4 linked regions of the Lepisosteus oculatus genome follow. The protein of the gene in region 1 purifies or fractionates together with the protein of each later gene. This does not show direct contact. Links are inferred from orthologs where the notes say so. Each region holds a gene or a part of one and is shown in the gene's direction. Other genes may lie near its edges. The genes, in order: slmapa, pdcd10a, strn and strn3.

The links.
Region 2: the proteins of slmapa (region 1) and pdcd10a purify together in Homo sapiens (affinity purification with mass spectrometry; 3 studies listed by BioGRID and IntAct, counting the BioPlex papers as one, with this or other methods). This does not show direct contact. The link is inferred for Lepisosteus oculatus from reciprocal best matches to the Homo sapiens genes SLMAP and PDCD10.
Region 3: the proteins of slmapa (region 1) and strn purify together in Homo sapiens (affinity purification with mass spectrometry; 5 studies listed by BioGRID and IntAct, with this or other methods). This does not show direct contact. The link is inferred for Lepisosteus oculatus from reciprocal best matches to the Homo sapiens genes SLMAP and STRN.
Region 4: the proteins of slmapa (region 1) and strn3 purify together in Homo sapiens (affinity purification with mass spectrometry; 5 studies listed by BioGRID and IntAct, with this or other methods). This does not show direct contact. The link is inferred for Lepisosteus oculatus from reciprocal best matches to the Homo sapiens genes SLMAP and STRN3.

The regions. Positions count from the first base shown.
Region 1 is NC_090699.1:56,626,894-56,633,987, reverse strand, and holds the start of slmapa (sarcolemma associated protein a), read left to right. Parts: upstream 1-4,077; 5' UTR 4,078-5,397; coding exon 5,398-5,595; intron 5,596-5,852; exon of another isoform or gene 5,853-6,060; intron 6,061-7,094. UniProt on the Homo sapiens protein: Associates with the striatin-interacting phosphatase and kinase (STRIPAK) core complex, forming the extended (SIKE1:SLMAP)STRIPAK complex.
Region 2 is NC_090708.1:4,828,055-4,835,507, forward strand, and holds the start of pdcd10a (programmed cell death protein 10-A), read left to right. Parts: upstream 1-4,433; 5' UTR 4,434-4,572; intron 4,573-7,453. UniProt on the Homo sapiens protein: Promotes cell proliferation. Modulates apoptotic pathways. Increases mitogen-activated protein kinase activity and STK26 activity. Important for cell migration, and for normal structure and assembly of the Golgi complex.
Region 3 is NC_090712.1:6,771,011-6,778,775, forward strand, and holds the start of strn (striatin), read left to right. Parts: upstream 1-4,759; 5' UTR 4,760-4,914; coding exon 4,915-5,127; intron 5,128-7,765. UniProt on the Homo sapiens protein: Calmodulin-binding scaffolding protein which is the center of the striatin-interacting phosphatase and kinase (STRIPAK) complexes.
Region 4 is NC_090703.1:5,557,955-5,565,942, forward strand, and holds the start of strn3 (striatin-3), read left to right. Parts: upstream 1-4,980; coding exon 4,981-5,292; intron 5,293-5,517; exon of another isoform or gene 5,518-5,923; intron 5,924-7,988. Other genes in the region: ap4s1 (AP-4 complex subunit sigma-1), read right to left, coding at 64-150, 603-770, 2,031-2,318. UniProt on the Homo sapiens protein: Calmodulin-binding scaffolding protein which is the center of the striatin-interacting phosphatase and kinase (STRIPAK) complexes.

The DNA.
Region 1 (7,094 bases):
TCGTTATCTATTACTAAGCTTTCAACATAAACATAGACCTAGATAGTCAGGTATAAAATGTGTATATCAGGTGCCTTTTGTAGCCTTATGTTTTGTAAAGGTCTGAAACTCATATTGCAGTAATCTGCTTATGAACGAAAGGACTTAAAATACCGCTAATTTGGAGACTGGTTTCATTGTTTTAGATTCCAGGTAGTTCCTCAACAGGGCCCCAGCTGAAACATCACTGGAATGCAGCCCTGCTATGATGAAATTGTTCAGACAGACTTGGTTTCAGTAGATAAAGAATCAGGGCAGCAATTAATGGCTCCTTAATGGCTTTAGCACAAAGCTTGGCAATAGTGCCACTCTTCTGTTCTGCACAATAACAGGCAGCCACAGTAACTCAAGGCTCTCAAAAAGCAGACAACAGGCAATGCTTCAAAATGCAAAAAGTCTCTTTGTCATCCGAACGACAGAATGTTCCCTCAAGTGGTATGAGATTCAATTTCTCCCGTAAACTCTAATCATGCCTCAGCTAACTTATTAAAACTGATTTTATTCGGTGACTTCATTCATGCTTGATCTTTGACTTTACAACATCAAATTATTACAAAAATGTGAATTTCTCATTAAAAACCGACAAAGAATTAATCTGCAAATATGCCAGTTAGTCACTACAATGTAAACAGACACTATATAACAAAACTGATGGAATACCCATAATCAAATCGTTTTTAAATTGCTTTTTAAAAAACATATTTTTTTATCTTTTTCTGGGATCCTCCCAATTTCCTTTCTCTCATAGCCTTCACCCTCCATGTGTAAATCCTTTCTGTTCAATATTCCAGTTCAGCATGGCCAAATGATCACAATATTTTTCAGATCTTAATGCAATTAGGTCAAGCCTTCTGTAAAAGCGACAATACTTTCATTCTTTTAGTCCGTCTGAGCAACTGCAGGAGTTCATTATCCAATTAAATACCCGCTGTACAATGCTTATGAGTGCTGTTTTGTTTTTAAGTTCCTGCATTTTCCACAATTTTCACAATGATAACAGAGCATCACTCAAAATAAACATAACTGGACTTATTACCTCTCCTTTAAAGTTTGTCCAGTTTTTATGGGAGGGTTCTGGATTGTAAGAAGTCAGTTTTGCCTGAAAAAAAAAATAATTGCAGTGTTATGAAATCCTTAAAAATGTTTAAAGATTTCATATTTTACTAAAAGATAACAAGAGGACCAGCCAGTAAAATTAATCTTCCTAAGATTCTCAGCATTGCACCATAGTATAGTGATATGTGCAAGTTAGATTTAATTTTGGAGTTGAATATAAGTCCCTAGTCATTCATCAACTCCCTAAAACTCTAAGCCAAAATGTGCCTCGGTCACCTGCTCACCTTACTCTTCCACCAGCACACTAGTTAAATCAACGTCTTTCCACTGCTCAGACATGATCAAACATCAGAATTTGGAGTTGGGTAATAAATTGATTAATTTAGACTGAATACTCCCATTAAAAGATATATTAAATATGCTATCCTGTACATAGTTTTATCAAACCTTGATTGGGGCGTAGAGATGCTCATCTCATGTTTGAGACAGAGATCACAAAAAGTTTAACAAGGGCATACTGTGTTGTAAATGCTTTTCAATGGATTTTAACAAATCATTCCTGCTTTAAAATTGCCTGGCTCCATATTAGAGTCTGTAATGCTTATTTTGAGGAAAAAAGGGCTACCTTGGCTTAAGTAGATAAATACATTTTTATGATTCCTATCTCTTCTTGCTCCACCTTTATTCCTTTGAGCAACAAAATGTTTGCAAGATCTTCCCATATTAAGCCTGACATAACAATTTACCATGACCCATAATGCTCTCTGCCTTTTTAATGCTCCCAGCTGACAAACAGTTGTTTTCATTACCCAAAAAAGTAAGCTGAACCTATTTTTCTTCTGTCGTACCTTATTACACATGACAAGGTTAGTGAACCATATTTACATGATCACAGAGAGCCCACATTTGATCGTTAAACAACAGACTGCTAGATGATTTGTAGTCATTCAGTGCAGTTTCTCTTCTTATAAGCTTGTGGGAATATGTGTTAAGATTAAATCTCATGCTTCTATGTTTGTATCAGAACTCTGCTTTTTGCAGCTTTGGCAAAGACAGAGTGACATCAGTGCATAGTTCTATCCAATAATTACAAGTTGTGCCTGCTCAATTAGAGGTCTCACTGCTCTCTTTTCCATCTGAGATGGCTTTTAAAGGGAACAGCCCAAAGATTCATCGTCTCGGCCTTGGAATCATTACAGATCACGTTCCCAAATAATTTAACTATGAAGGGCCTATGTTGGACCAATGCTATCAACTATAATGAGGGGCTATACATCATTTTTACAAACAAAGATGTAAAGTTCATTTTTGATAACCACTTACAATTGAGCACCAAACAAACCTGCTTAATACCAGTGCTGGTCCAACCGTTGCTCCTTGACCAGTCATCCTTGTAAGCAGTGGAAGGGATCTTGGTTACAAATATCCTTCTCCTGATATGATCGCTAAGAAACAAATAAATGTGCATACACAACACCCTTCTTCACGTCCTCTGTTACTGTGAATTGCTCTTGCAAAAATTGATTTTGCAAAGAATGAGATGACAGCAGTGGAACACATGCCTTTCTCCTGAGACAGCTCTGAAGTGCACAGTTGTTCTGAAAAGGCATTAAGATGGCCATAGATGGAACGATTTCCTTTTTGTTGACACGCACAAAGTCCACTCACGCCAGGGCCAATGTTCCCAGAAGCCAATTAACCACTGGGTCAGAAACTGTTGAACCACTAGGGCACCGTGCTGCCGTGAAAACAGAACTTGTTTCAGAAATTGCAGCTCGTCAATTGTCAGTCGTCAATCAGCTTGGCCTAGGTGCGGATGCCTTTGTTTCAGCATAGGAGACTGTGCTTCGTGACTCCAAATGGCAGGGTCTGGATTACAGAGCTCAGACTGTGCGTGATGTATTTCGACAGAGAATGAAAAGAATGGAAATGGAATTCCTATTACAGAGAGATTTCAGCCATTACAGATTTTAAGAGCTACAGGGACTACTGATAATTGTGTGTGGGGGGGGAGGGAGAATGAAATAGGCTTTTTTTTTTACCTTGACCTCTACTTCCCTGAAAAGCGTAAATCCAAAAGAAATGATTGTATTTGACTGCTTGCGGGTCAAATTAATTACATTTAGAAAGGAATAAATCCCTTAATTCTCTTTAGAGACACAGCATAAAGCAATAGGCTTAGCCTGTCCAGGGTGATATTAGACCCTAACTGGGCAACCCCGTTTGGTGTGACAGCTGTTTCTATCAACACACTAGTCCATACCCCTTTACTTCGAGCTATATGAAAGCAGACTCCTGGAGAGGTTAGCGCTCACTGAATTCATTCAGTTAGTAGTTCCTGGCTATTTTATATTCGGAAACCTATTGGGTTTGTTTCCAACATATATACTTAGAGATTCGTTTTTAAACTTATATTTATTTTAATTTCAATCTACTCTGAACTATAAAAATAGCACACTTTTATATGGAGCCAAGTCCCCTTGTGAAAGAAAGGGTTCATCCATTGTTATTAAGCATTTTTTTAATTATGTGAGCAGTCTTATCCGGTATGCCTATGAACATTTTCTTCAATGACTTGAGCTTTCATGAACTCGAAATATCTCAATTGTAAACCTGTTGTCTGTTTTGAAACTATTAATTTCAACTCGATTCATTTTAATGTGCAAATAGCAGACTGCCACAACTACTTTTCCCACACCGACGTAGATCCGATAGCATGACGTTGCAACAGAGCTGCTACATATTAAAAAAACGCTCCGCATTTTCCTCAGCACATAACCCTGGGCGTTTATGGGGCGTACCAAGCATTCATATCCGGAATTCTTATTGGCTCGTGTCCACTCCAACCACCTCGTTACAACAGCTAGAAGGAACCTCCGTCTCCTGCTTTGCTGTCATTGGTTTACTGCTTTCGAAGCTTCGCGCTTCATTGGAGGAGGACCTGTCCGTCTCAGCCCTCGGTTAACGCCCCCTTCTTTACGACGTTGAGCCAGTCGCGTGCTTGAGTGCGACGCAGCCCGGTCTGAGTGTGTCTCTCATATCCAGTATGGCGGCTGTTACTAGAGGAGGAGGGCAAGTCGTCCGGGTCTGTCCTCAGTTTAACCGGGGTGGGCAGTAATACTGCTGCCGGCAGAGTGTTTTGCAATTTCCACGGGACCTTCCTGAACGCCAAGGTAACTTTATGGCTTAACGCGAAATTTGTTCCAGATCCCACGGAAGAAGACAACAGCGGCAGCGAAAGCTTTTTTCGTGTTAAAATTTCCGCGTCTGCTTATAAAAAAAAGGAGGGGATTTGTTTTGATTTTCGGGTCAGGAAAGTTCACTGCGCTGCAGCCCCGCTTACAGCTCCCGGGAGTGAAAAGGATTTTTTTTGTTTTTAAAGCTCACTTCACGAGTAAGGCCCATCGGGGCAGCTGGGGGATTTATAAACTCAGGCATGCAGTAGAAACTGTCAAAGAGACGGAATTGTTTCTCTCGTCGGTATCTGGTCGTAAAAGGAGGAAGAAATGCGCATTTTTTTGCCACAGACGAATGTGCTGAAGCTGACTTAACACTCGGGCTGTTCTGAAACGGGGAGTGGTAAATGAGCCTCACAGCTAATGTGGTATTTCAGAAGAGGGGAAATACCTTTTTTTTTTCCTGGATTTGTGCGATAACTTGTGTGTGTGTGTTTATTTTTGGCCTAACGCCTGTGTTGAAACAACGAGAAACTAACACTCAGGGGGTGACGGGGGTTTTAGCCGGTGGAGATCGGGGAGGGTGATGAGGTGGTCGAGCTAAGTCTCCCTCAATGAGGAGTCTTAATCACCGGGCGCGTAGGTGAAATGATCATCTTTGATCCTGTAATGTGTAAAAATCTTCACGCGTGACACTCGACACTGCGAGTCAGCGATCTTGTTTTTTTTTTTATCGGTACCTTTGGGGAATCGGGTACATTTGTCTTAAGATCAAGTCCCTCAATGTTGACTGATGAGCAAGGCTTTGGCGGTGCCTGCAAGTGGGATAACACTTTTATGGAAGAGAAGGTATTCCTGAGCGCAGCGGATTTTGTATGACACAATGGGTCTCTTGCTGACGGATGAAAGGATGGCCTGCACTTAGATCTTTTTAAAGACGTTATGTAGTATAGCACCCCCTTTTTTTTGTTTTGTTTGTTTTCCCCCCCCCCGCAATCGCCTCTTTCTGGGGGGGTTTTTTCCTTGGAAACCGAAATTGGGGGGAGAATCGAAAGTTTTTGCCAGTCTGGATCAAGCAGCCTCGCCTTTCGTGTCTGGTTGGAGCGACGCCCCCAAGTCATCATCAATGCCTTCAGCGCTGGCTGTCTTTACCTGCCGCCCGAATTCACACCCCTTTCAGGAACGCCATGTGTACCTGGACGAGCCAGTCAAGATCGGGCGCTCCGTGGCTCGCTGCCGCCCGGCCCAGAACAACGCGACGTTCGACTGCAAGGTGTTGTCGAGGAACCACGCTCTGGTGTGGTTCGACCACAAGACGGGCAAGGTGAGGCGTCGCTTTTCAGGCGGGCGGGACGGGTCGAGCGAGCGGGCTGTCGCCCTGGGCAACGAGCGCGGGTTGCGGGCTTGCACCGGGGTGGGGGGGGACGGGACGTGTGTAGCGAGTTACCTGGCTGCTGTTTTTCCTCTCCTCCTCCTCCTCCTCCTCCTGATGGCGTTCTTCATTAAAGCATGCCGAGCGTCACTCCCCCCCCCTCAAGCGCCAGGCTACCTCTGTCCTCGCCTGGAAACCATGTTGGGGGAATATAGCCGATGCAACAGCCTGTGGAAAACCAGCATTGGGAATAGGGCCCTGGATAGGGAGTTGTTGGCTTGTGAAGGGGTTGTTAGTAATTGCACGGCGCGGGAGGAGGGCGGTTAGCACACCTAAGACGTGTGTTGAGAAAACCAGAAGGGTAACAGAGCAGGTTCAGTGCCGGAGAATCAAAGCGGACGATCTTTGGTGGAGCAGGTGAGGAATCGGCTTGCTGGTTTTGTTTTTTTTTTTTTTGTTACCGGTTGAAGACTTTAAAGCTGGGTTTCCGTGTAGGTTGGCACTACAGGGTGGTCTGCGGTCGCTGCCTGGCTTCTCTCGTTGTATGGTAGCGGACACAACCTGCAAGGCAAATGGAAAGACCCGCAGATTCGGGGGGTGGAGGGGGACGATTCCGGTTTGATTTGAGCACAGCTGGCTGCAGATCTGGAGCTACTCTCGCTGCAAGGGGCAGCTGGCTATCGCACTCCACCCACATAGCGCCGTGTCATTTGCATGTGCCCTCATTAAGCATTCGCAATCCCGAGATCGCCGTTAAGACGGACGACGCTTGGTCCTTATCCATGTGAGCAACATGGATGGCAGTGTGGAAGGACACGATGTGAGACGCAGGAGGGAATGTGCTGCTGCACCGTTTACATGTGAAATCCCGTCTGATGACTATGACTAGGTCCAGTCTCTACAGATTACAGATCAACCTGGTGTAAATTTAATATTTAAAATGTCATCCCCCCCCCTCATTCACGTCTATTGATTCTTCTCTTGGCTTTAATATTGCCCGCAGCATGCCTGGGAGACGTGACTGTTGACAGGCATTTATATTCTCAGTCCCCTTCAAATCACAGTGTTGTGCCGTTGCAGCTGAGGCATGAATAGGTTTTTTTTTTGACTGAGCTGCATTTGGCCGGGTTCCTTTTAATTTAGGACAGAAAATGTCACTTCCTAACGAGATAATGTGTAGGTAGGTATGTGCTGGTTTGGGTTTACAGAAATGGCTGCTTGTGAAAAAAAAATAAATCAAATGGCTCTTGAAAATAAGTTATTTGTAATAAGCAGGGCTAACAACTAATATAGATTCCTAGATATTGACTGAAGACAACCAGTGCCAACTGCCATTTTGTGCTGAGATATTGTTTAAAAATACTTTATCCCGTTCTGTATCCCCAATTACATTTGAGATTTAAATGTGTAATTGAGCAGGGCTCTGATCAGGGGTTCTACATTTTTTTTCA
Region 2 (7,453 bases), on another chromosome or scaffold:
GTAAAAAAAAAACAGCTGGAAGGGTCACTTTAACACAACACCAAACGAAAATAAATGCTACAGATTCCAGTCAGAGGTACAAACAAAGGATAAACAGCATAAACACAGACCACAGGCTTGGGCAGCTGTGTCACTCATTGTAGATTAGCATTTGCAAATACAAGGTTTTTTGTGCAGACATCTCATTTCAACCAGATCATGTCAAAGGTTAGAAAGATTTTCCACCACATATTGAAAAATTGCCTATCGCAGCTCACTCCCACCTTAATCCATACACCTCAATGTGCTTACTGTATTGTATATTAAAATCAAACATGTAATGAAGAATTGTCATGTTACAATCCTCCCACATACTGCAGATGTCCTACTTCAGTGCTGCACATTATTATACCGGACTCATTCCTGGTACCTGGGATGTCTAGCCAAAACAGGCTAGAAGATTCTTTATTTGTGGAATCTGACAATCAAGAGTGCCGACAGCAGCACAAAAAAACAGCAATGGACTGTTTATTAATTCACCACAGAAACCAACAGAATAACAATCAGGTTTTCCTCATCGTAGAAAAAAAAAACGTTCTCAGTCCGACTTAAAAAAAAGCTTCAGTCTTCTCTACCGCACATCTGTTCGGGCTCATTAATCATGATAGCTCTGATTCTGTAATGAATGAAATGCATACATATCCCCATAGGGTTACCCAACTTAACCCCCGTCAATCGTCAATTGATGGCAACCTGCTTTGATCACCGTTGCAAAAACCCTTCACCATAATTTAGATTCTCCAAAAATAAATTAGAGTATTCCGTACACTCCTGCACAATCTTATCACAGCAGGCAATCGCAGTGACAGGTCCGATCCACAGATTTAACAAGAGGTAGTGGAGTTTTCTTATCCCAAGTTTAGGAGGAGCAGGGAGGGCCAGTGTAGACAAATCCACAGTCTATTACAAGTCCCATCAGTTTCCTTCCCTTACTTGTTACCACATTCCTTCTAACACCAATCTTATCGGACCGAAGATGGGAAAGCACCTCCATCTTCAGCGTTCTGACCCATTGCTCATTATGGGCGTTACCGACATGATTCAGCAATGGGAAAAGGAGACAGGAATAAATCGATATAAACCATCATTCTGCATCAGGGGCTAGCATGACCATTTTATTACAGCATCGGTTCATTTAATTTATTTCTCAAGCAGACGCGTAACTGAAATACTGTTGAGGGTAGGGGTTCCCCATGCAAGTCAAGAGCACAAGGCAACTGCTCGATGTTACATTTCTAAAAGAAATTCTTCAGCAACTTATTTTGAAAAACAGCAGTATTTTATTTGATTCTACGGCTACATTGGAAAGCAGATTCCTTCACTCTTCAGAATTATTTAGTTTTATTTGAACTTACTATCTTACCTTTCTAATACACGTCCCCTGACCAAACAGCACTCAGGCACATAATGATCATGCCTGATGCTGGATACCTCATTGTTAAACAAAGTTGCTTTTAAATTAAAAAGAATGTATTAACGCATGCAATGCTAATTCAATTGGATGCCTTAAATTGGACCTTTTTTTTCCAGGCCAACATTAGTTCTTCATTTAGATGATACCAAAAAACAAACACTGAAACTTCACTGATGGCAATGCACCTACTGTATATACTTAAAACATCACCAAATACAAGAAGGTGATATGGGAATTTTTTTCCATTCCATGACATTCCTTCTCCTTGTGATCCTGAATGCTAATGACAACAGACTGTCCTTCAGAGAGATGCAAAAGCAATTAAACTTTGAGCTCCATCTCTACCGCCTCAAAGCATAATAAGCCAAATCGTGTGCAAATGAATTTGATGCAGTTTCATAAATTTACTCCAGACACATACCCGTCTTCTGTTTGTGTAGATGAATGCGCCATTTTATGTTGTTCGGGGCAGTGTGATGAAAGGGCTCATCTGGGAGATTAAGTTAAGCTTTTTTTCCAGCAACAGCTAGGAGGTATTATTCTGTACTTCCTGGCACCCTTCTGAGGAACATTCTAAATAAACTCGATTTTCGTAGCCCCACTTAAGTTTGCTTAGCACAATTAATAAATAAACCACAGGATTAATTAAATAAAAGGTCAACGGGAGCTTTAGAAATTATTAGAAACTCAATATGTGAATATTGCTAGGTTTTCCAAGCAGCCCATACTGCGGTAGAAGATATTTATCACTAGAAATGGGGATAAAAAAGGCAATTCAATCTCTATAAGAAGCAAACGTTGTTTTAAATATGACCAGACTTTAGATCGTTAAAGCAGGGCTTAATGTGCCAGGGTTATAGAAACCCACTTCTTTAACAAAGCATGCATGTCTCCTTGGACTTTTCTGTGCCTGAATAACTTTCTTAGACACCAGTGAGAGCTGTGCTTCAGAGATTTAAACAGTAATTGGATCTGCTGCCGTTTAGATTAATTGAGCTGAATAAAAGACTTGAAAGCTCTGAAAGGGATGTAGTGGCTTTTAAAATACACACAACCAAAGTGTTGTGATGTTACACTGGTAAAATACTGTATGCAAAACAGCAATTCATGAAAAGAATAATACTAAAAAACCTGAAAAAGAATCGATAATATATTCCTAAATTATTTGCCATAATCAATGACTTGATGTATGTTTACTGTCACACAGTTTCACAGAAAATGAAATGGTTCTAGAATTAAAAATTAAAATAATCTGATATCTTTTTTTTTTCTGTAACGCAGGGGCATTTCCGTCCTCTGCCTGCGCACAGATGGAAGAAAAGCCCCTACTTGCATGTGAAGATTTAGTCGGTATTAACATGACGCAAATTAAAGACCTCACAATGTTAACACAATGTTCCGTTTTTGTTACGCTAAAACGGAAACTGCTCAGTGATTTTAACATTACACTTAGCGAAGGTTCAAGTCGAATCCACGATTTCTAGGGGGGGGCGGGACATTTTTTTTATCGTAAACAGATTGGTTGCTTATTTTGTGAGAATAATTTTTGAAGGTGTGAAATCCACACCCGTGCTAGGAGACACGCCAGAATTTTAAAAAAACTAAAATCTATACAAATAATAAATTTCTCCAACAACGTACACACCAGCAAGGACAGTAACAAAATAAAACAGTATTTAACTAGCTGCTTGTTTGACACGTACTGTATACTAGAGGATTTAAACTCGCATACGTACATCAGAATAGTGCGATTCAGGAAGATCTTGTGAATATATGTTCTTGCCATGTGGTTATATACCAATTTAACGTACTAACGTTTTACACCCAATTTTACGTCTCACTTTTTACTTTTTAGGTGGATTATCTACAGATCACAAATGCCAAGACGTTTAATCTTTAAAAATATACATTTACAATGTCACGAGAACGTCGGCTTGGCAACGGATATATAGATATACAGCATTTTACATAACATACACAGCTTTTTACGTGAAATGTAAGAAGATAAGAATTCGGAAAGCTAATCCGTTCATTTGTATATTCTCTACGCCATTCACGTGTATCACGAGTTTAATATAAACTACCCAGGAGTCATGCACACCGTCGGCTCGTACATTATTAATATGAGATTCGGAAAATAACTTCACACACAGGAACACACAAGAATAGGTATCAGGAGAACAAAGGACCACTTTGCTATTCGCAACCCGCCTCTCTTGGTAACTAAAAAAAAAAGGCAGATTTTAGTCATTGCACAGCTAGTAAAAAAGAAAAACCCCAAAAGCCAAGAACTGGAGAGAAAAATAAACTTAGCCCTCTAAGAATAAAAAAAACCCACAGACACATCATTGACAGCGATGCTTCAGTTAAACGGAGAGCGATAATGACAACATGTTGATTCGTTTCAGCACAACGAATTAGGACTTGGTTTGACATTATAAGGCATTTAAATCCCTTCCTTACCAAGTGCTATTCTGCTAAGGATGCTTAGCTACAGTAGCACTCCGCCTCTCGGTGATGCTTATTCCTTTTGGACGCCGCGGCAGGTTCAAGACAGACCTAAATATTTTCACAGCCCGATCCCGCCTGCCTCCATACCCATTGGCTACCTCTCCCGTCCTACCTTCACAACACGCTAGCCTTTATGCTAGCCGTATTTCCTCTAGCTACTTCGAACTGCGAAGGGGTGGATTTCAGACCTGTCAGTGAAGATCAATCGGGCTGCTATCGCGTAGTAAAAAAAAAAAGAGGGCAAAGAAATGCATGATAACATGCGAAACCCGCTGTAGTCAATGAGCTACCCATCCGTGCACTTTATTGGCCGAGAGGAGTGTCACTCACTGTGAGGGGGCGGGGACGCGGAGGCGGCGAAATGCTTTCTGGTACTTGGAGTTTTATAGCACGTAAAGCGCCAATCTTCGCCGCATTAGAAAGGCTCTCCAAAGACTACAATTCCTACTACCGACCTAGCCGTCTATAAAGCTTTTTCTGGTTGGTGTACTGGGGACCTCGCCTCAACTCCCTGCGTCTCTGGTCAGGCAGAAAACTTCCGTCTTCGGTAAAAAAAAAGAACACATAAAAACGGAGTTTGGGGGCTTATTCGGGACGGAAAGAAGCAGGTACGTACTAAATATCAAAAACCGCGCTGAACGTCTCCTTTTTCTGCCAACTTCGTGTCGATGGGTTGTCACTCTTCGAGGTGCCCAGTGAAGTAGTTAGCGAATAGGTATTTCTAATAATGCTGTTGTTATTAATATCGTTAGCTTTCGTCTCGTTGAAGGTTTCCTGGTTCTAGCTTGTCCCCCGAAACAACATCCGCCTGACCGGAATCGGAACCGCCCGGGTCTGATACCGAAAGGCACCTCGTCCGAGTGAGCCAGAGGTCTACGGGCCTCGGCTCGGCCTGTTGTTGTTGGCGCGGAACTCGGTTAGAAAGGTGTCCGCCGGCCCAGCCCTGGGAGCCGGGGGGCTGGTCCCTCACCTGCCGGCAGCCCAGGGACAAGCCCGGCCACCCAGGCCTTGGTATGCGGATAGGACAGATTTTAAAGAGCTGTTTTTTCCGGGTTCTATACGTCCTCTCCTGGTTGTTTGAAACGACATAGCTATCGCGCTTAGATACAGTTTCGCGTCTCATTTTAAGCTGGAAAAGTTTCCAGCAGTGATCAGTGAAGCCTGGCTGGTGATTACCAGCCTGAACTGAAGGTGCCGTATTTCCCATTTTCTGTTTAAACCCGTGACAGCTTTGGAGATGGCAGACCGCCTCGGAGTGAACAGTGCGGTGAGAACAGTAACAATCCCAAAAGTGAATTAAACACACAGCAGGGTCAAATCTCGTTTCGTGTTCTTTATAGTTCGACTAGTGATGTTAAATCGCTACTTTAAAATGGGTTGCATCTGTGCGTTTCGCATTAGTCATTAAGCTATATGTGCATGCGTATCAGTTATGCTGAAATAAATAGTCTCAGAACTTTTAGACTTTTAGAATCATGAGAATATGATAGGAATTGATAGTGATATTTAATACCTCGCCTTACTGAGTTTCCTAACAGGTTCCTTCAGGCTGGGTTCAGCAGTGTGTGAAATGACTCTGTGGTCATCAGGCTTCTTGTCTTTTCACTTTCTAGAATGAACATCATCAGCTCTTTTTTTTTATTCCCTAAGCAGTTTTCAGTAATGCTTCAAAATAAATGCCCGGGATGTGACCTGCTCTTTATACAGCACTTTATGGGAAGCTGATTGCCATCAGTAAGTGTTTGGGATGACCCAAATTCAGTTTGGAAAATATTTATCTCAGTGTGGAATTTAATAATTGAACCAGCTGTATGCAGATATTCCCATAATGGGAAATGTGCTGTCCTCCCTCCTACACTGTATTGGTAGATGTGTGAATGATTATACTGTCATTTGAATCAAATCCCTGCCGGTACAACCTGCTATATATACTTAGCAGCTTTGATTTTTGAATCCCAATTTCCAATGCTGCGGAACATACGTTCAGCTTAAGCTACACATTCTTCTTGTGTCGGGGGCTACGTGCTGCGTGCAAACGTTTTTCCAGATTTTGTAAATGGTATTTGTAAATACCAACACTAAATGGTATTTGCCAAATCTTATTTACTGGAAGACATTTGACTATCAGGACTATGATTTGGGTGTGACTTCAGGTGACCTGAAGATCTTTCTTAGGAAAAGCTTGTATATTTTACTGCACACCTTGTGAACACCTGTTCATATGAGGTTGTACTTAAATTCTGGGGCCCTGGAACTATTCCCATTACAGAGCACTGGCTGGGGTGCAGAAACAGAGCCATCCAGGATAAGACTGAGGTTCTTGTCACTTCTAACATCCCAGATTTTGCTCAAAGAGTTGTTGTGTAGGCGAGTTAGGCAGAGGACTCCCAATCAAGTTCCCTTCTCCTGCTGATAATATGCAGCACTGACCACTCCAGTGTGTTCAAGGAATAAGAACATACCTCCCTGTATATTGGGGCGGAGCGGTGGCTCTCTGGCTAAGGATCTGTGCCTGCCTGTGGCTGAAAGGTTGCCAGTTCGTATCCCATGGCCGGCACAGGAATCCGACTCTGGGGCCCTGAGCAAGGCCCTTCACCCCAACTGCTCCAGGGATGCTGTATAAATGGCTGAGCCTGCTCTGACCCCAAGCTTCTCTCCGGCTGTCTGTCTCATGAAGAGCAAGTTAAGAGTATGTGAAAAAGACAAATTCCTAATACAAAATCCCGTATATGGCCAGTAAAGTGATCTTATCTTGTATCCAATCCTGATTTAGTGCATTGATTAAATACTTGATCATTTAAGGCAGTAAATTTAAGAGTGCAGAAAAAATTGTGATGTACGTTGTTTTTTAAAAGAGCTGTGTGGGAATGATTAGATTTTTTTCTTCCGTTTTCTGTTTTTGCTTATTTGGTAATATTTCAAAGACAATTCAATCTTATTTTTGCAACTATAAAGGGGTTTTGTTCTATCTCCGTGTACTACCCCTACCCTGACAAGCAAACTGGACAGAAAGCAGTCCTATTGACAGAGGCACTGAGAGAGCCTAACTGCAATTTCTGTATTCAACTGAAATGCATGCCGGTATTAATATTGAATTCACAATCAGTTGAAAGATGTCAGCAGATTTAACAACATGCACAAGAATAAATTAGGCAGAGACTGAGACTGTGAAAAGGTGAAAAGTGGAAGTAAACCTGGACAGACATGAAGCATCCAGAGCTGGTCAAAGGATTTATAGGTCCTAAGGACGATGGCGCCTGAACCTGTCAAAAGCAGAGAGGGAAGTGGAGGGTTCATTGCTTGTTTGTTCAACAAGCAGTTTATTGCTTTTGCTGTAAAATCCACCTCACAAATGCAGCTTGTATCAGATGGAACTCAAGATTGGAGAAATGTGCACACTTCTTAACGGACATAAAAAGTGACATGCTCACTTACAGTCCTGCCAAAAATGGAAGGAACTGGCTACAGTTACATTTTACTTAAAATATA
Region 3 (7,765 bases), on another chromosome or scaffold:
ATGTTTGCAGCTGAGGAGCTTGGCTTTTTGTAATGTGACTGTGGGCTAAAAATCACAGCACCAGTGCTTCAGCCATGTAGTTAATAGTTCCATTGCTCTGGTGTTTTAATATGGGTAATCTATTACAAGTGAGGTAAAGGTTTAGAAATGAACAAATATGCAACAAATTCTAATTGTTTTTATTTTTAATTGTACAGTATTTACCATAGTCAGTTGATTCTCTAGTGAATATAATAGTAGTGCAACAGAAATATGTACAGCCATGCAATTTTCCAGCTTTAATCTGTGCTCCAAGTTTGTCTTTTTGCAGTAAAAAAAAAAAACATTTTCAATAGTATTGGTTAAAAGGCAAATTCCAAAAGTTAATTCCCCTTTTTCTTGTTTTTTTTTATGAGCTTTTTATAGCTTCTGACTATAAAACAGGGCTTGTGCTGAACAATAAATGGAATTAAATTCCTCCCCCCAGGTGAAAATAAAATCCACGTGCCTGCCCGGTGATCTGCAATACAGAGGTGATCTTACAGTGATCCTACTAGACTTGTTAACTGCTTTTCATTTTTTTCTGTGCTGTACATTATTGAAGATCCTGAAAGTTTCTGCAGTTTCAGCTATTCTTGGGGCTGATGATCCTAACAGCATGACATCCTTATTCTGGGATTTTCCCCAGAACTTACCCCAGCACTGCAGGTGGAAATGTCCCCTATGCAAATGCCTGCAGGCCCCCACTATGCTGACAACCCCTGGATTAATACAAACCGCTATCTGCACAACAGACTACTCCACTTTCAGTGCAGTTGGTTTATTATTTCCCTTTGCAAAACCCTACACAACCCTAACTTGAGGCTGAACTACTGTCTTACATGAGTGTTTTACAATACATTGGCAGTTCACAGGAGTCTAGCTCACACGAAAGGCATCAAGAGTCTTATGATGACTCTGCCGGGAGAGCAAGTAATTCTTTCAAACACGCCTCATGCTTGCTGACCTTGAATGCTGTTGTGTGATTCTCTGCACGTCTTCACCATGGCTTTACAAATCTATTTTGTTAAAGAACACCGTATTGGTGTCTCGGGCACATTCAAATCAAACTGCAAATGGTGTTACTTTGTTAGAAATGTGTTGACTGCCCCTCTATGACTTGTCGTCCCTGACCCCAGAGGTGAATAACGAGACAGGGCTCTCTGCCCTGTGCTTTTATTGCGGAGTTTCTCACCAGCTTCCAGGCCTATCCTGATCCAAAGACACGGAGGCCGAAGTGCTTCATTCTTGACTGCAGACTTCATTCCTGCTGCAGCCGACATCTGCCAGCACCTCCCGGTTCTCCAGGATACATCAGCTCCGTCTTCTCCACCTGTTTTGCTGCTGAGGACTTGACTGCCGGAGCCCTGTTAGCGGAGTTTGGAGGCTGCAAGGAGTACTAAAAGGCCCTTATCTTAACAAAGGGTTATTGATAAATGTCCCCTAGCAGGAACGTTTGCCATGGATTACTTCAAGGTACTGAACTGAGACATTTTAAGGACTCCATTCAGGCAATTTTTGCTTGCAGGTTTCAAGTGTACAAAACTGACAGTTATGAGTAAGCGAAATCTTTAAAACAGACCAACTTGCAAATTAAAGACCCACTGACCCCATTGCATATGAAGGGAGATCTGACGGGAAGAAGACATTAATTCAATTTAAGTATTTATTATGGCTTTTGTGCAGCTCTGCAGAATATTTGATGTTCCACTGAAATTTGTTTGTTATGGAAACAATGACTGAATTGTTCATCGAAGGTTAAAGAAAGAACTCAAGGCCAAAAGGCTATCCTTCCATGTGAAGCACAATGCAACTTTGCACTTTTACCTTAGTGCGTCTCCACGTTTTAGCCCACACTAGGCTACCGTATCTTTTCAGGATTAGCCAGTTTGTTCACTGAGTCAATGAAAAGCCATTTGCCTTTAGGTACCTTTTGTAAATGAAACAGGTCTGAAAAAACAGGCAAATGTTGGGGATAAGGAAGTGTAACCTTGGCAAAGAAAGTTTAAAGCAAGCGGGAGGCGGCTATTCGGCCTAGCTAGAAAAGGTAATGAGGTAGCCAGGGCCTCAGTGAGACCTTTGACAGCTGAGTGTATGGGAGATTGAGCTTGTTGTCAAGGTGACAACAAAATTAGAATTCCCTGGCTATTATTGTAGGCTTTGATAATGTTTTTATTTCTCTGCCTAATTCCAAAGTGCATCTTTTAACAAGTGGGCCCAGAAAGTTACCGAGGGGTCAAAGAGAGAAAACGCGATAACACCCCTCCTTTGCATCCTGACCCCTTGCAAAAAAACAACAACTGAGTGACAGAAATCTAATTAAAGCATTTTGGAGAGTGCAGGCTGCTACGCACATCTGTAGAGTTTTAAAAACCTGATTTGGCTTTGGGGAAAAAAAAAGATTCTGTAGTGGAGTTCTTCTTCAGCATCTATACTGCACAACAAGAGTCTTTCCCAGGAAGGCTTGTCAGTAAATAAACAGCCCTGGTTAAATTTAGTTCTTTTGTCTTACGAGCCTCTCAAGATACTTCGGCGGGTTGTGGTTCGAAAAACGAAGTAAACTTTCTGAAGGCCAGATTTACCCTTCTTAGAGTTCAAAGACCTGTGAGGTGGACATGCCTTAACAAATGTTTAATGGGGAAACTCTTCTGCAATTTTAAAAACAAATTTATTGAAAAGTCTCAACCCACACACACCAAAGGAATTTCATGCCATATGTTGGGGGCTGAATGATTCGCCCACTCATGACAGGCCTCTTTTAACTGCGTTTTATTTTTGATGTTGATCACCATGGCTACCATAGCATGCTGCTTTTGTTCCTCAATTACCGAGTGGATGTCTCAGGGAAGGAAGATTCAACCGGTACAGTGGCACCAGAGACAACCTTTTCAGCAAAATGAAATCTGTAGAAAAGAATGCAGAGTCTCAATTTATTGTTCCAAATGTATGACTTCCGGGGGGTTAAAAACCCATTTCTTCAGGATGAGAATGAAACTGTAATAAAAGTAACAACATTCATGGCTGACCTTGTAGTGAGTTTTCAGTGGATTTTCTGGTTCCTGTTCGATAGCTGGCAGTTATAAAGATACACCTTCCTCTTCATCTGGTGAACAGCAAGGTCTGCAGCATCGTTTCCTTCTAAGGAATGACAGCTGTGAAGTGTCAATTTGACAGTAGCTACTTGTGTCAAAAACCTGCATTGTAAGTTGACAAATTACAATGTCAGCAGAATTTGCATAAATATATTACTAAAGATCACAACACACAGATGGCACTTGTTATTTTCTGACATGAGTGGTTGCAAGACCTGGAATTGAACTTGTTTTGGAGTTGACTAGCTGATTTTGTTTTTGCAAAATATGGATTGTCTATATATATAGTTTATTCATCCATATTTTCCCAAATGACATCATTTGAGTTCCACTGTATTCCAGGCTAAAGACACTGCAATGTATTTATTTCTACATTTATTTACAATACACCATTTATTTATTTGGTGTCATCATCTAGTGGATTAATAAAAGAAATCAATTAATAGCAATGTGCAGGCAGACCTCTCTGGAGTCACCCTTGGGCAGTGAGTCTTAACATTTGGATAATAACACAATTCAGAAAAGGAACTCTCCTGTAGGGTTCTCACATTTCTGATAATTAAACCGTATTGTAAACTTTCATCATTTTTTTCCCTATCTGTAAAAAAATTAATTAGATAAAACAGAGCTGGGTTTCACACACTAATCACCTTTTGCCAATGTCATGAGCAATTAACGATAATATGAATCCTAGAAAAACTCATCAAATTAGATAGTCTAATTAATACAGTGGTGCTCATCTCCTGCTCTCAAGGGCTGTGTTCGTGTTTCCTGTGCATCTTTAAATAATTAGTTTCTCAAAAGCCCTAAAAGACGTTCTATTAAACATACAGATAATACATATAAGTTAAATGACTAGAAGCTGCTACAGTGAGCTCTTAACTGTTAGATAGCCAGTTTCTGGACATACTAGTAGGTGTTGGTTCGCAGGCGTCATTAGTTTCTCTATATTATACAGTGCTTTATAAACAGTTGCATGTGTTGTATTACTTTAACTCCTATACAAGAGGTAATTGGATAAGTGGTCAAGACTTATTTTTGTACTGTAAAGTATTAGTCACTTTAGTTTCTAGTTGTAGCAGAATCAGTAGACTAACCTGAAGAATTGTACATTACCCTATATTATATAATATACATGTACATTTAGTCAAAGAGATAATTAATGATGAAGTGATAATGCAGATTGATTCAAGTAATTTTGTATATGTTTTGTATAAAAGACAATTAACAGTCATTAAACTCACAAACACAAAAACCAATGCTGCTTTTCAAAGTTGGCATGTAACAAAGTACAGTCTTACTCTTTCTCGCATGTACAGTATGTGCTGTATGCTCTTCTCTGAAAAACATCAGGTATTGTTTTCAAATTAAAGGAATCTATTAAATTATCTGTGTACTTCAGTTGAATTCTATATGTGAATACCTTTGGGAAATCAGTGACAGGAGGTAACTGTGTTAAAATAATAACCTGGCTTTTCAATTCAACCCGAATTATGGTGGTTTTACTGTCGAGGAGCTGAGAAGACTACAAATCCCATCATGCTTTGAAAAACTAGTGCAGTAAAAAGACCATAGATATACGGAAGCCTAATGTATTATGGGCGTGTGCATGGGGTTTGACGTCATTGAATGACAGCCAGCTGTCAGAAGTGAGTTTGGTCCCCAGCAGAGAGAGCTCTTGATTTTTTTTTTTCCGTGTAGAGGCGGAGACCACAGAGTGAGCGAAGAAGCGGCGGAGGAGAGCCGTCAGACAGAAGCGCCGTGTCAACCCTCCGCGAACCGAGCGCTGTTACCTGGCCTGGCCATGGAAGAACAGGCAGGGCCCGGAGTCTTTTTTAACAACAACAATAACTCGGTGCTGCCCGGCGGTGGGAAGGGACCCCAGCCCGAGGGAGGCGGAGGGGAGGCGGCCCGGGCGCAGTACAGTATCCCGGGGATCTTGCACTTCCTGCAGCACGAATGGGCCCGATTCGAGGTGGAGAGAGCCCAGTGGGAGGTGGAGCGGGCCGAGTTACAGGTAAACAACCTTGAGCGCCCAGCCTGGGTCCGGTCCGCGTTCGTGACGGTCCCGGAGAGAGCCCTGCCTGCCCTCCGGATCGGCACTGAACAGAACGGGCTCAGTCCCCCCTCCTCCCCGACTACTGAGTAGCAAACAGTGCATAAACAGCTAAGGGTTGTGTAGCTTCTAGGGCCAAGGCTGGGTGTTGCGATCGGACACGAGTTCTGAAATGTGTAACTTAAAACAAGAGGTTTCGCGTGTTTTGCCGACGTGCAATGTCGTACCGGGTTGCTTTTGCGTTTCGACAGGGGTGCCAGACCCTGTGCATGAAAACACATTTCGCTGTGTTCAGAGGCGTAGAAATGTTTCAGGATGTGATAAGGTGGCGAAGTGTAACGCTTTCGGATTCCGGGCTACAGCATGTGAATTGTTGTCTGCACCCCTCCGTTTATCAACGACAAAAGCCGACCTGCATTTTATACATTTGTAACCGTGTTTAGCTCTCCGATGTGCTCGGAGAAGTGTGTACTCCGATGTGTCAGAGCAATCAGTTCTTGGCACTGAATTCCGTTTGCACCTTTGAAATGTAAAGTTATGTAAATTCGTGAGACAAGGAGGTTAGATAGGTGTGATGTAGGGCTTCTGTCTTAAGGGAAGAGGTCAATAATTCTTTGATACGAAGTGACTCCCACATACGATGCAACCACGCTCAAATGTTTTGTGGCTGAGATTTTAAACGCCACAGAATTAAAAACGATGGCGAATTTCGTGACAGATGCTAAATATTAATTTGAAAATCTACCGAATAGTCCCCCCCCCCCCCCCCCCCCCAATGAAACACGTTGAGGTCTACTGTTTAAATTCTGTCGTGAATAGTAAAAGAGGGTTTGAGACACTGGCCTCCAAACTCTCATTAGTAGTTAAGTCCGGCACTGAGCCGTCTATGAACAGTAAGTGCATTAGACACACAGGGTGACTAAGCCAAAGCTGCTGCAAATCACTTAAAAAGTAGCAGGCTGCTTACTGAGAGTTTAGTGCGCTCTGACATATAACCAACCCTAACCCCTCTGTCGTTTGTGCAGGGCACCCTGGTGCTTGAGGAGGGCCTGCTGCCCGCTCCTTCACTCCTCTTGGTGCACACTGCCTCTCAGTGCCCTGTAGTAAATCCTTTTGGCATCTGGAGCAGGGCCATGAGCTTTGGTGCCGCAGCCACTAAGCATTTTGAGCTGCGTCGCTGGGGTCGGAGCTGATGGCAGCCTCCGAGAGAGGGGGAGTCGAAATGTCCCTCTCCGCTTTGTGTCTTTAAAAGACTGTCCGCTCACCTGTTGAGTTGGGGTTTAAGAGGGGGCCCGGGTGTGGGGCGGGACGGGGGTCTGGTCTTGTTGAGATCGGTGATCTAAACTACAGCAGCGTTTAAGATTTGCTGCCTCCTCCACGCACACTCTCTTGTTCTTACAGGATCTCCTCATGCACTATGAGGGGCCTGCGCTGTCGATAAGCTTGGCTGTTCCACGTAGTGGTGAATGCAGAAAAAAATTATCTCATCCCGCATGAGAAGCCGACATCCAAAAATTGCCCTAAAGCACGCCAGTCTGGCGATTGTTTGTCCACAAAGAGTACCTGCTCACTGAAGGTCTTGGGTGAGCACAGATCAGGTGTAATAGAGAGTGGCGAAGCCAGATAGATTTTTATCTGTTCTGGCCTGACAGTCTGCTCTGTGTGGAAACAAGAGAAACAGAGCACAACTGGCACAGCAGGGGGTTTTCAGGACCAATGCCGATAGTTTTGGAGGTGCTTTTTGCTTGATGTGGGCAGCTGGCCACTTACAGTAAATGAAAGTCATCTCACCATTGGCTTTGGCCAGTTCAGTTGCAAAGTTAAATTCTTCCTCCTCAATAAAGTTGACCTCTGTTTAACTAGGCCTGTGAGAGTTCAGAATGCTTTGTTGCAGGAGAGAAATTCATTTCTTCCCTTTTTTTGTACTGAAAAAGTTTTCTCCTTATAGTGAACGCTCAGTAGACATGAATGTTTTCTAGTTAGCAAACGGTATAATAGCGGTCTTGCTTTGCAAGCCAGGATGTATGATGTTTTTGTGTGTGTGCTACCTTGGACTCTCTTCTCTGATTACACAAATGCAAGCAGTTGTTACTGTTTCTACAAAAAACCCTGACGCAGCGCAATGCTGTAAACACCTTGGGGGTTTAGCTGTGAAAATCGGAGGTTTAGACACTTGACTTACACTTGCTGAAGAAGACAGTAAGGTCGTGGAATTTTGGTTTGCTGTTCACATCATTAAAAGTAATACTGGAAGGAAAAAAAAATAGGCCAAAAAAGCAGGAAATGCTATTTTATCCAGTGGCAAGGAGCAGTTTGTGGTTGTTTCCTACATTGCTCTGGCTATAGATTGGTCGGGCTATGGTTTGCATTACACAGCACTTTTCCAAGTTGTTTGTTTGCTGTGCTGTCGCATGGGCATGTGTTCAGTAATGAGGGCTCGGACAGTCAGCTTGTGTGAAATAGGAGCGTGTAATCTGGACAGCTGCTGAATGGCTTTAGACATGATAAAGATGTTCTGAGAATATAGGGCTGTCATTAAGTTTTACCAGCCTTGGGGATTTTCTTTTTCCAAAGCAGGATTCAGCCCAGTATGCTAGCA
Region 4 (7,988 bases), on another chromosome or scaffold:
GGACCATAATATTCAGTGCTGTGTGTGTTCATAAAAGGAAACATACAAAACACACTAGCTTACCTCAGTGTCGTCCACCCCAACCACGATGAAAAGTGCTGCATACTGTCGATAAATGAGCTTGAAGTCTTTATATTCAACAAAGGAACACTGAAAAAACAGTACACCTCATTAGAATCTACACAGCTTCTTCTTTGAAGAGTCAGTCCATAACTGTCTCCAATACGCATACAATTCCACAGTCACAGGCTAGTTAAAATCAATCACATGACTTTACCCTTCCCAACAGTACAATAATAAAGAAAATATAAAATGACCAAATGAAAGGTATTTCATTGGTTTCTAGGTAAGTATTATTTCATGTGGAACTGGGGTAGTTTAAGACTAGTAACATACAATAACATCCATAACAACAGCTTTACTTCTGTATTCAGCCTGCCAGGCGAAAGTGGCATTATTGTTAAGATATGGGACTTAACCAGTGTTAGCACTCTCATCGCCCTGATTATCTTTCAATAACAATACAGTTCAGTAGAATTCGACCAGGGTTTCTGGATAAATACCCCATGATGATTCCCAAAAATCAATTCCATATTGCATACCTCCTCTTTTCTCCGGGACAGGCAGTTTTTAATGACTTCAGCTTCCAAATACATTCGCTTCTGAATATCCAGGTGCTCGTAGTACTTGGACAGGCGTGTCTGACCCTGCTTGTTAACCATCAGGAAAAACTTGATCATGTTTTTCTGGAGGCTCCTGCGGCTTTCTCTCTGAAGAGCAATAAGTCTAAATAAATATTGAGCTTTCAAAAGCAAAAGCAGATGGAAGCTGCAGGGAAGCTGCAACAGTATGTGAACAATATAAACTGTGGCTTAGTGGTCTAATTTGAGCCGTTTTAATACACCTTAGTTGCATGAGAAAAAAAGAGGCTGTGAGGTGTTCTATTACATATTCTATGAAAAATGCAAAACAAATAATCAAGCACACAAACAGACATGGTACATATGGGAAACTGAAGTGGGGAGAGCAGGAACAAAGTTTTCCTTTCCTTTGGGCTCCCTTCTAACACGAGCCATAACTGTTCCCTGCAGTGCAGAGAGGCTCAGACTCCAAACTGGAGCCCAACGAAGTCCAGCAGTTTCTTTTCTTGATCCAATTTTGAAATCAGAACCCGCCTGTATTTTCTTAGCTAATGGTAATGAAATCATGCACGAAAATTTGCATTCGGTGAAACAAGGAAAAATACCTTAGAAACTCTTTATCACAGGAAGGGTAATTGGGGTATCTAATATGACAGAAGGATGCAGAGAGGGATAGGTGTGATGTGATATCCAGCTCAGTGTACAATGCGGATAGTGTATAGGTAGTGTGGAAACAAGGCGCAGTGTCTGATTCTTCAACCTGAACAGCAAGATGGGAATATCTCCTACATCTCAGATCTCTTACAAAGCACAACCAAATCTGTTTACACATTTTTTGTCCCTCCTTGTCTCTGGGGCACTCTGAAATGACAAGTGTGCTGTATATATTAGCAAGGAGAACGTGTTCTTTGCCAATGAGCCACAAAGGTACAGCCCCAAATAACCCTTTTACTTGCATACAGTCACGTCAAACCCCCAAACAAAACAACTGAGACACTCCGAGGAAAGCATGGAGCTAAATGGCTGACGCTAAATTTACCCTAAATAGATATACGAGGAGTAGCACAGTGGTAAGCATTGCTGCCTCACAGAGCCGGGGCCGAGGTTCAATTCCCAGCGTGCTGTCGGCATGGAGTTTGTATGTTCTCCATGCGTTTGCATGGGTTTCCTCCTACAGTCAAAAGCATACTGGTAGGCTAAATGGCTTCTGGGAAAACTGGCCCCAAGTGCGAGTGTGTGCGTGTCTGTGTGTGTCTGTGAGGGCCCTGCAATGTCCCGGAGTCCCTGCCTCGCGCTCACTGCTTCCTGGGACACGATCCCACTCCCAGCAAACCCGAACTGGAAGAAGCGGTTAGGAAATGGACAGGCAAATCTTTCCATGTGTCTTACCGGTGTATGAAAATTTCTCCTCTCAACTGCAACACTTAAAAGATGACTGATCAAGATGGTGGTGTGCACAGACGCAGTGGCTGTTCTGGGTCTGGAAAAAACGCTCTGTGGACTAGGAGGAAGGATATTTCGTAACACTGTATACTTGCAGATGACTGGAATGACAAATAAACGTGAACTTGAACTTGAAAATCTACAACAGGACTGCTCCAGGGGTGGTGTATAAATGGCTGACCCTGTGCTCTGACCCCAAGCTTCTATCCCTGCCTGTGTGTCCGTGTGTCTCATGGAGAGCAAGTTGGGGTATGCGAAAAGAAAAATTCCTAACGCAAGAAATTGGATATGGCCGATAAAGTGATCTTATCTTATGTGCTCACAAGTGCCTCAAGCAGAGGAAAAAGCGCCGCTGTCGTGACGCATGTGCAGCGCTCGTCACTTGTGCAGGAGCGCTGTGCAACTGTCGCAATATCCTGGCAGATCACCGACAATTCTGGGGCAGGGTTGGGGGAAAGGCAGCAGACAGGACGTCCTGCCTCACGTCAGCGGCAGGTCTGCACTCTGGACGCTGGGCTGTGCCCTTTGGCCACCGCCCGTCCCCGTCCCAAAACACAATGACTGTCCTCAAGAAAGTGCGTCCTTTTTAAAGGCACTGCTCTAAAAAAGAGCACAGACAGAACCAAAGCCCCAGGGAACGTAGAGAACAGAAACAAATACGTCATTCCTTAAGGCCACGACAGAGGAGCAAAGAATTCCACTTTTGTTCCTAAAGCAGGTTAGCAGAAGCCACTGTGGGAACGCCATCTACACTCCCTTCAGATTCACATTTGGAGCAGAAGACCAGCTCTGGCCAGCCACAACTCATATGTACTGTACTGCACGCTGCAATAGTGCAGGCAGGACCAGTTAACAACATGACAGGCCAGTCCACACCTCAGCGCAGTGAAATACTCTGTGGACACTATGTGCATGATCTTTTTGTAACATGCACATTACATCTAAATGTTTTGGCTGAGGACGCGTCCGACCACATGACTGCCGCACACCATTAACCTAAGAAAACAAACCTGTTATCTTTTCCCATGGGAGTGGCCGGTGATTAAACAGCTGTATCTGTGCAGTATTAATAATTATGTTGATAGAAAATATATACGTTTTAAACTATAACAGCAGAAATTCTCAGAATTGCTACTGAAGTGGCACACTGCATTGTTTGCTTGAATTCAGTCAAGGATCCTGGTTCAATTGCCAGAAAAACAGTAAATTCTGCATGTTAACACAAGCACTAATTATTACAAATATACCAGACAGCCAGGGGACATTGAACGAATGAATGTGTTCAAATTCAGTGTCGCATCATGCCACTGGGGATGGTCAACTCCAGCCTACTGTGTAAAAAATAAATCATTCTGTAGTCTGTGATAGCAGCTTCTCATCTCTGGTGGAACATTTAAGTATGTACCTATCAATTACTGCATATTCTGTTCTATTAAATTTCAACAATTTTCAAGAACACAAGGACAAATTGTGTCATACTGTCATTTTTTTAGATTTAAATTAAAAAAAAATAATGCACAAAGTTCACTGGCTAACGTAACTTATACAAAAATTAAAATATATTTTAACAATCCACACTTCTGTGGCATCACAGGTCTTGTGGCGTTGGATTTGATTGCAGATTGGGGTATGCTGTGTGTGGAGTTTGCATGTACTCTCTGAGTTCATATCATCCAGTTTATCCCAAAGCACAAGTTCACAGTGACACTGCACTTGACTAAGAAATAACGGAACATGCTTGAATGGACACCTGATCTCCCTTCCCATTTACTGTACTTCCCTGTTTATCTCCATAACGTTTGTATCAATACGAGCTATTAAAAATGCAATAAGAGGAGCCCAGATTTGTTTCACTAGGCGACCTCATAACTTCACTGGACATCACATCAACCTCGATTCTCGGCTCAGACAGAACAGCGAAGTGCCAGCTACTGTTCACCGAGTCTACTTAATACAGCATGCTCGAAGTATAATCCCCCTAGATACACTCCTGGATTTCGGAGTATTCTACAAATGTTTCAGAATATCGGGATTGTGCCCCCTGTACATCCAGCTCTTGTACCATGCGCTTTTGTTCTCCGTCGCAATGAGCGAGATGACGATTTTGTCAAGGTGCGGACTGACACCTCCCAGCAGCCCGAGAACCCGCTCCGGTGCGACCAATTTCTCACACAATGACAGGCGCAGGAACGCGAAATATAAAACACGGAGCTCCCACGTTTTATTTCACCCCATATAAGGTCACGTTTTCATTTTGTGTGTGTGTGTGTAGAAAATCCACGCGAGAAACGAAAACCGACGCGCACGTTGCCAGCTCTGCCTACGGACGACCTGTGCGTGCAACGGAGCCTTTATTTCTTTCTTTCTTCCGTGCACATTCTCGGACTCTCTGTCAGCACCGGCCAACATAACGCTTGAGCTCTCCCACGTTTTACGAGGTGCCTGGGAACAGCCAAACCGCCGTCCCCCCCCAGCCCGGCCACCATGTAAGACGGCACGCATGCCCGGTGCCTGCCAGGTCTGTATTTGGATATAAATGAGAAAAAAAAAACCGCCTGGTGAGTGTGTCCCGGCATGCAGCGCGGGCCCATTCTCCCTCACCCCCGCAGTGAGGAGACAGGCTCACATCCAGGGACTGTAATGGCGGCCGGCAGCTCGTTGCTTCTCTGACACACAACCCAAACACCACCTCACAACAGGCACCTCCGCGACCCCAGCTGGGGGGGGGCGGCGGCGGAAAGGGCGCTTGCGAATTGCACACGGCGGCGGGGCACTCGTTTGGGGGCAAGCACAAAGAGAGAGAGAGAGAGCGAGAAGAGCGAAGGGACCTGTGCGGCATTAGCTGTCGCTGGGGCAAATTTTTTTTCTTCTTCCCTTTTTTTTTTTTAAAAAAAAAATGGATGAACACCCGGGAGGAGGTGGAAGTGGCGGAGGAGGAGTAGGAATGGCCGCGCCGAGGCAACAGCAGCTCCAACAACAACAACAACAGCAGCAGCAGCAGCCGGGGAATAATAATAACAACATGAATCCCCAGTCCGGGGGAGGAGGGGGTGCCTTGGTGGTCCAGCAGCAGCAGCCGCCGCAGCAGGACGAGATGCCTCGGCCCCAGCAGTACACTATCCCGGGGATCCTGCACTACATCCAGCACGAGTGGGCCCGGTTCGAGATGGAGAGGGCGCACTGGGAGGTGGAGAGGGCCGAACTCCAGGTATCGGATCACGGCACTTTCGCAGTATTTCGCCCCGCCGATAGCTAGAGGCAGTCGGGGCTGAGCACGCCCCTTGCTACAGAAAAGGCGACGCACGGCCACGACTGCCCGAAAATAATATTTCGGAAGTGGAGCGGCGGAGCCGAAGCAAAAGGAAAAAAAATAAAAGAACCCCCCCCCACACACACACACACGATCTGCGTGGTTTTTTTAATTTTTTTTTACCTGCTTGCTCTGGAGTGAAGGTCGGTCTGGGGGCTCGTTGGGGTTTCCCTTAGCTCTACACCAGGAGAGGGGGGGGGATTAAAACAGGAAAACCGAGCGAACCAGTAACTCGCGTATAGAGGGATCCTCTAGGCGGCCATTTTGGTTGTGCCAATATGGCGTCAGGCGGAGGGCCGCTTTCTGTTACAGTACTGCGCGGTGCAGAACCGACGCAGCAGGCCGGCAGCTCGGCCCCCTCCGTACACGAGCAGGGCTCGGGCCCTGGGCTTTGCAGGAAAGCCCGGGGGGGGGTCTCTATGGGGGGTGTCTTAATTGCTGCAGCGTGTGCGCTGGCCAGGCAAAGGCGAGCTGCAGCCTGGCGCCCGGCTCCTAGTGCTCTGCGCTGCTTGGACGAGTTCACCCACTCCCCTTCACGGATTCACCGGAGGGGAAGCGGCTTCACTCCTGTCGGCGGGGTGGAGGTGGTGTGATAACAACAGCGGTCACGGTCGTTGATCACGGCCGTGGCTTGTGAAGTCTGTGATTGTTGTGTGATGGTGGAGCGCGTCACCCGACGACTTCTTGAGCACCGTGCATTGAGCCAACAGGCGCCCCCGAAGCCCCGTTAATTTAGAATCGCCCCCCGAATTAACCGTGTTTTGTTGTTGTTGTTTTTTTTTTTAAATGACACAAAGGGTTGCCACGAATCGCCAGGGACGCAGACGCGGGGACGTGTCCGTGTCTCGCAACACCCGCTTGATTTAGATTCGGGTGGACGCGCTTTGTGCAGCCGGCCGGACTGGGGGAGGAGGGTGGCGGCGGCGGCGGCGGCTTGTGTGTTAGTCACAAGTGCGGAGACGAAACAGTGTGAAAGTGCATGGCTTCGTAACGTCCCCATCACATGCCCTCGATTACTACTCGGGTTAAAAATAGAGCCCCCCCCCCCAACTTCCTAGTGCCAGCCGGGCAGTGAGGTGTGAGGGCCCGTCTGTGCAAAAGTGTTGCGCGTGTGATATAGGTCAATAGCTGCTGTTCTGCATTTGGCTTTTTTTGACAGCTGCGTGCCTCTCTGTTATACAACGGGTGGGCAGAAGCTTGCCGGTTTACCCTACCGGACAGTTGCAATCCATCTACTGCTTTTAATTCAAGTTCATGTTTTGTTAGTATTACTTAAATGTTTGTTTTAAATCTGCATCATGTTTATTACGCTCTAGATTGAAACGGTTTTTGATTATTCAGTGGTGGCCTCTTGGTCATTCATGATGTCTCTGACATCCCCAGCGAGTGCGGGATCAGAGTTGGTTCTGATGACATCACTTGTCGGGAAGCCTGGGAACTTTCCCAGAATTGTGCTAATGTGTTGTGTGAAAACTGTGGAAAGATTCATCTAGTGATTCATCATCATGCTCTTATTGCAGGTTACTACTGTGTCTTGAACTAAGGAGCTATTTGAAATTAAGATTCAGCTGTGTGTGTAGCCTTAGTCTCTCTTGTTATGCTGAGGGAATTTGAACATAATTTCACATATTCCTACGGAGACCTAGACAGACTCAGCTGTATTTGCATACAAAATATTGCTTGAAAGTTTTGTCATGTGCATGTATATTTCAGAATGGTAACTATATGAAAATTGTCAGATTTACTAAGGACAGATACTGAAGTTATGAAATTTCTTTATGGATTATTGCAGTGTTAAAAGATACACTTTAAAGCCATTCAGAAGTGCTAAAATCTGTGGATAGAAATTCAGGGCCTTTTAATCACTTGCTGTGTTCCTGTCAAAATGATAAATAACTCTACGGGTCTATAATGCCTATAGCTACCTTCTGAGAACACCATTTGGCACTAACTGCAGATTTTGTGAAGGTTTACATTCAAAATAAAGCTGGTACACTAAAATGCAGTTACTGTTTTATACTAGGTGTAATGCACTACATTGGGAATAGTCTTCCTTTTTAAGAAGGCTGCCCAACATTTTCTCATACAGTGTTGTTATGCAAGTGTCTGGTCTGTGAAATTGATCACACTTCAATCACATTTTGTTGTGCTGGATGTCGATGCATATATCCTCGTATGTGTTGTAGATGGCTAGCTGCAGACGCTATCTTCTCAGTGCCAGTTGTTTGCTAAACAGTTTCCCTGTTATTTATAAAACACTTGGTCCCTCAATATTTATACAAACAATATCTGTGCTCTCTCTCTGTCTTCAGTGGCTGTAGGAGTCCATCTGTGTAGAGGCTTCTGGTAGAAGGAAGGTCATGTGGGCAGCATGAGGGAGTCTTGCTGTTTAAATCTTCTTAATCTGTTTACTAGTGAAAAGAAAAGCAGAACTGACCTGTGATTATGGCAAGACAGTGGCCGACCGGTGATGAGAAAATGCCTGGGAGCAACAACAAGTCCATTACTGCAACATGTACCTTAAAAAAAAAAAAGCTTGCTTCTTAGGGAAAAGGGGCAGATTGGACATTCTACTGCAGGAAGTGCTGAGCATC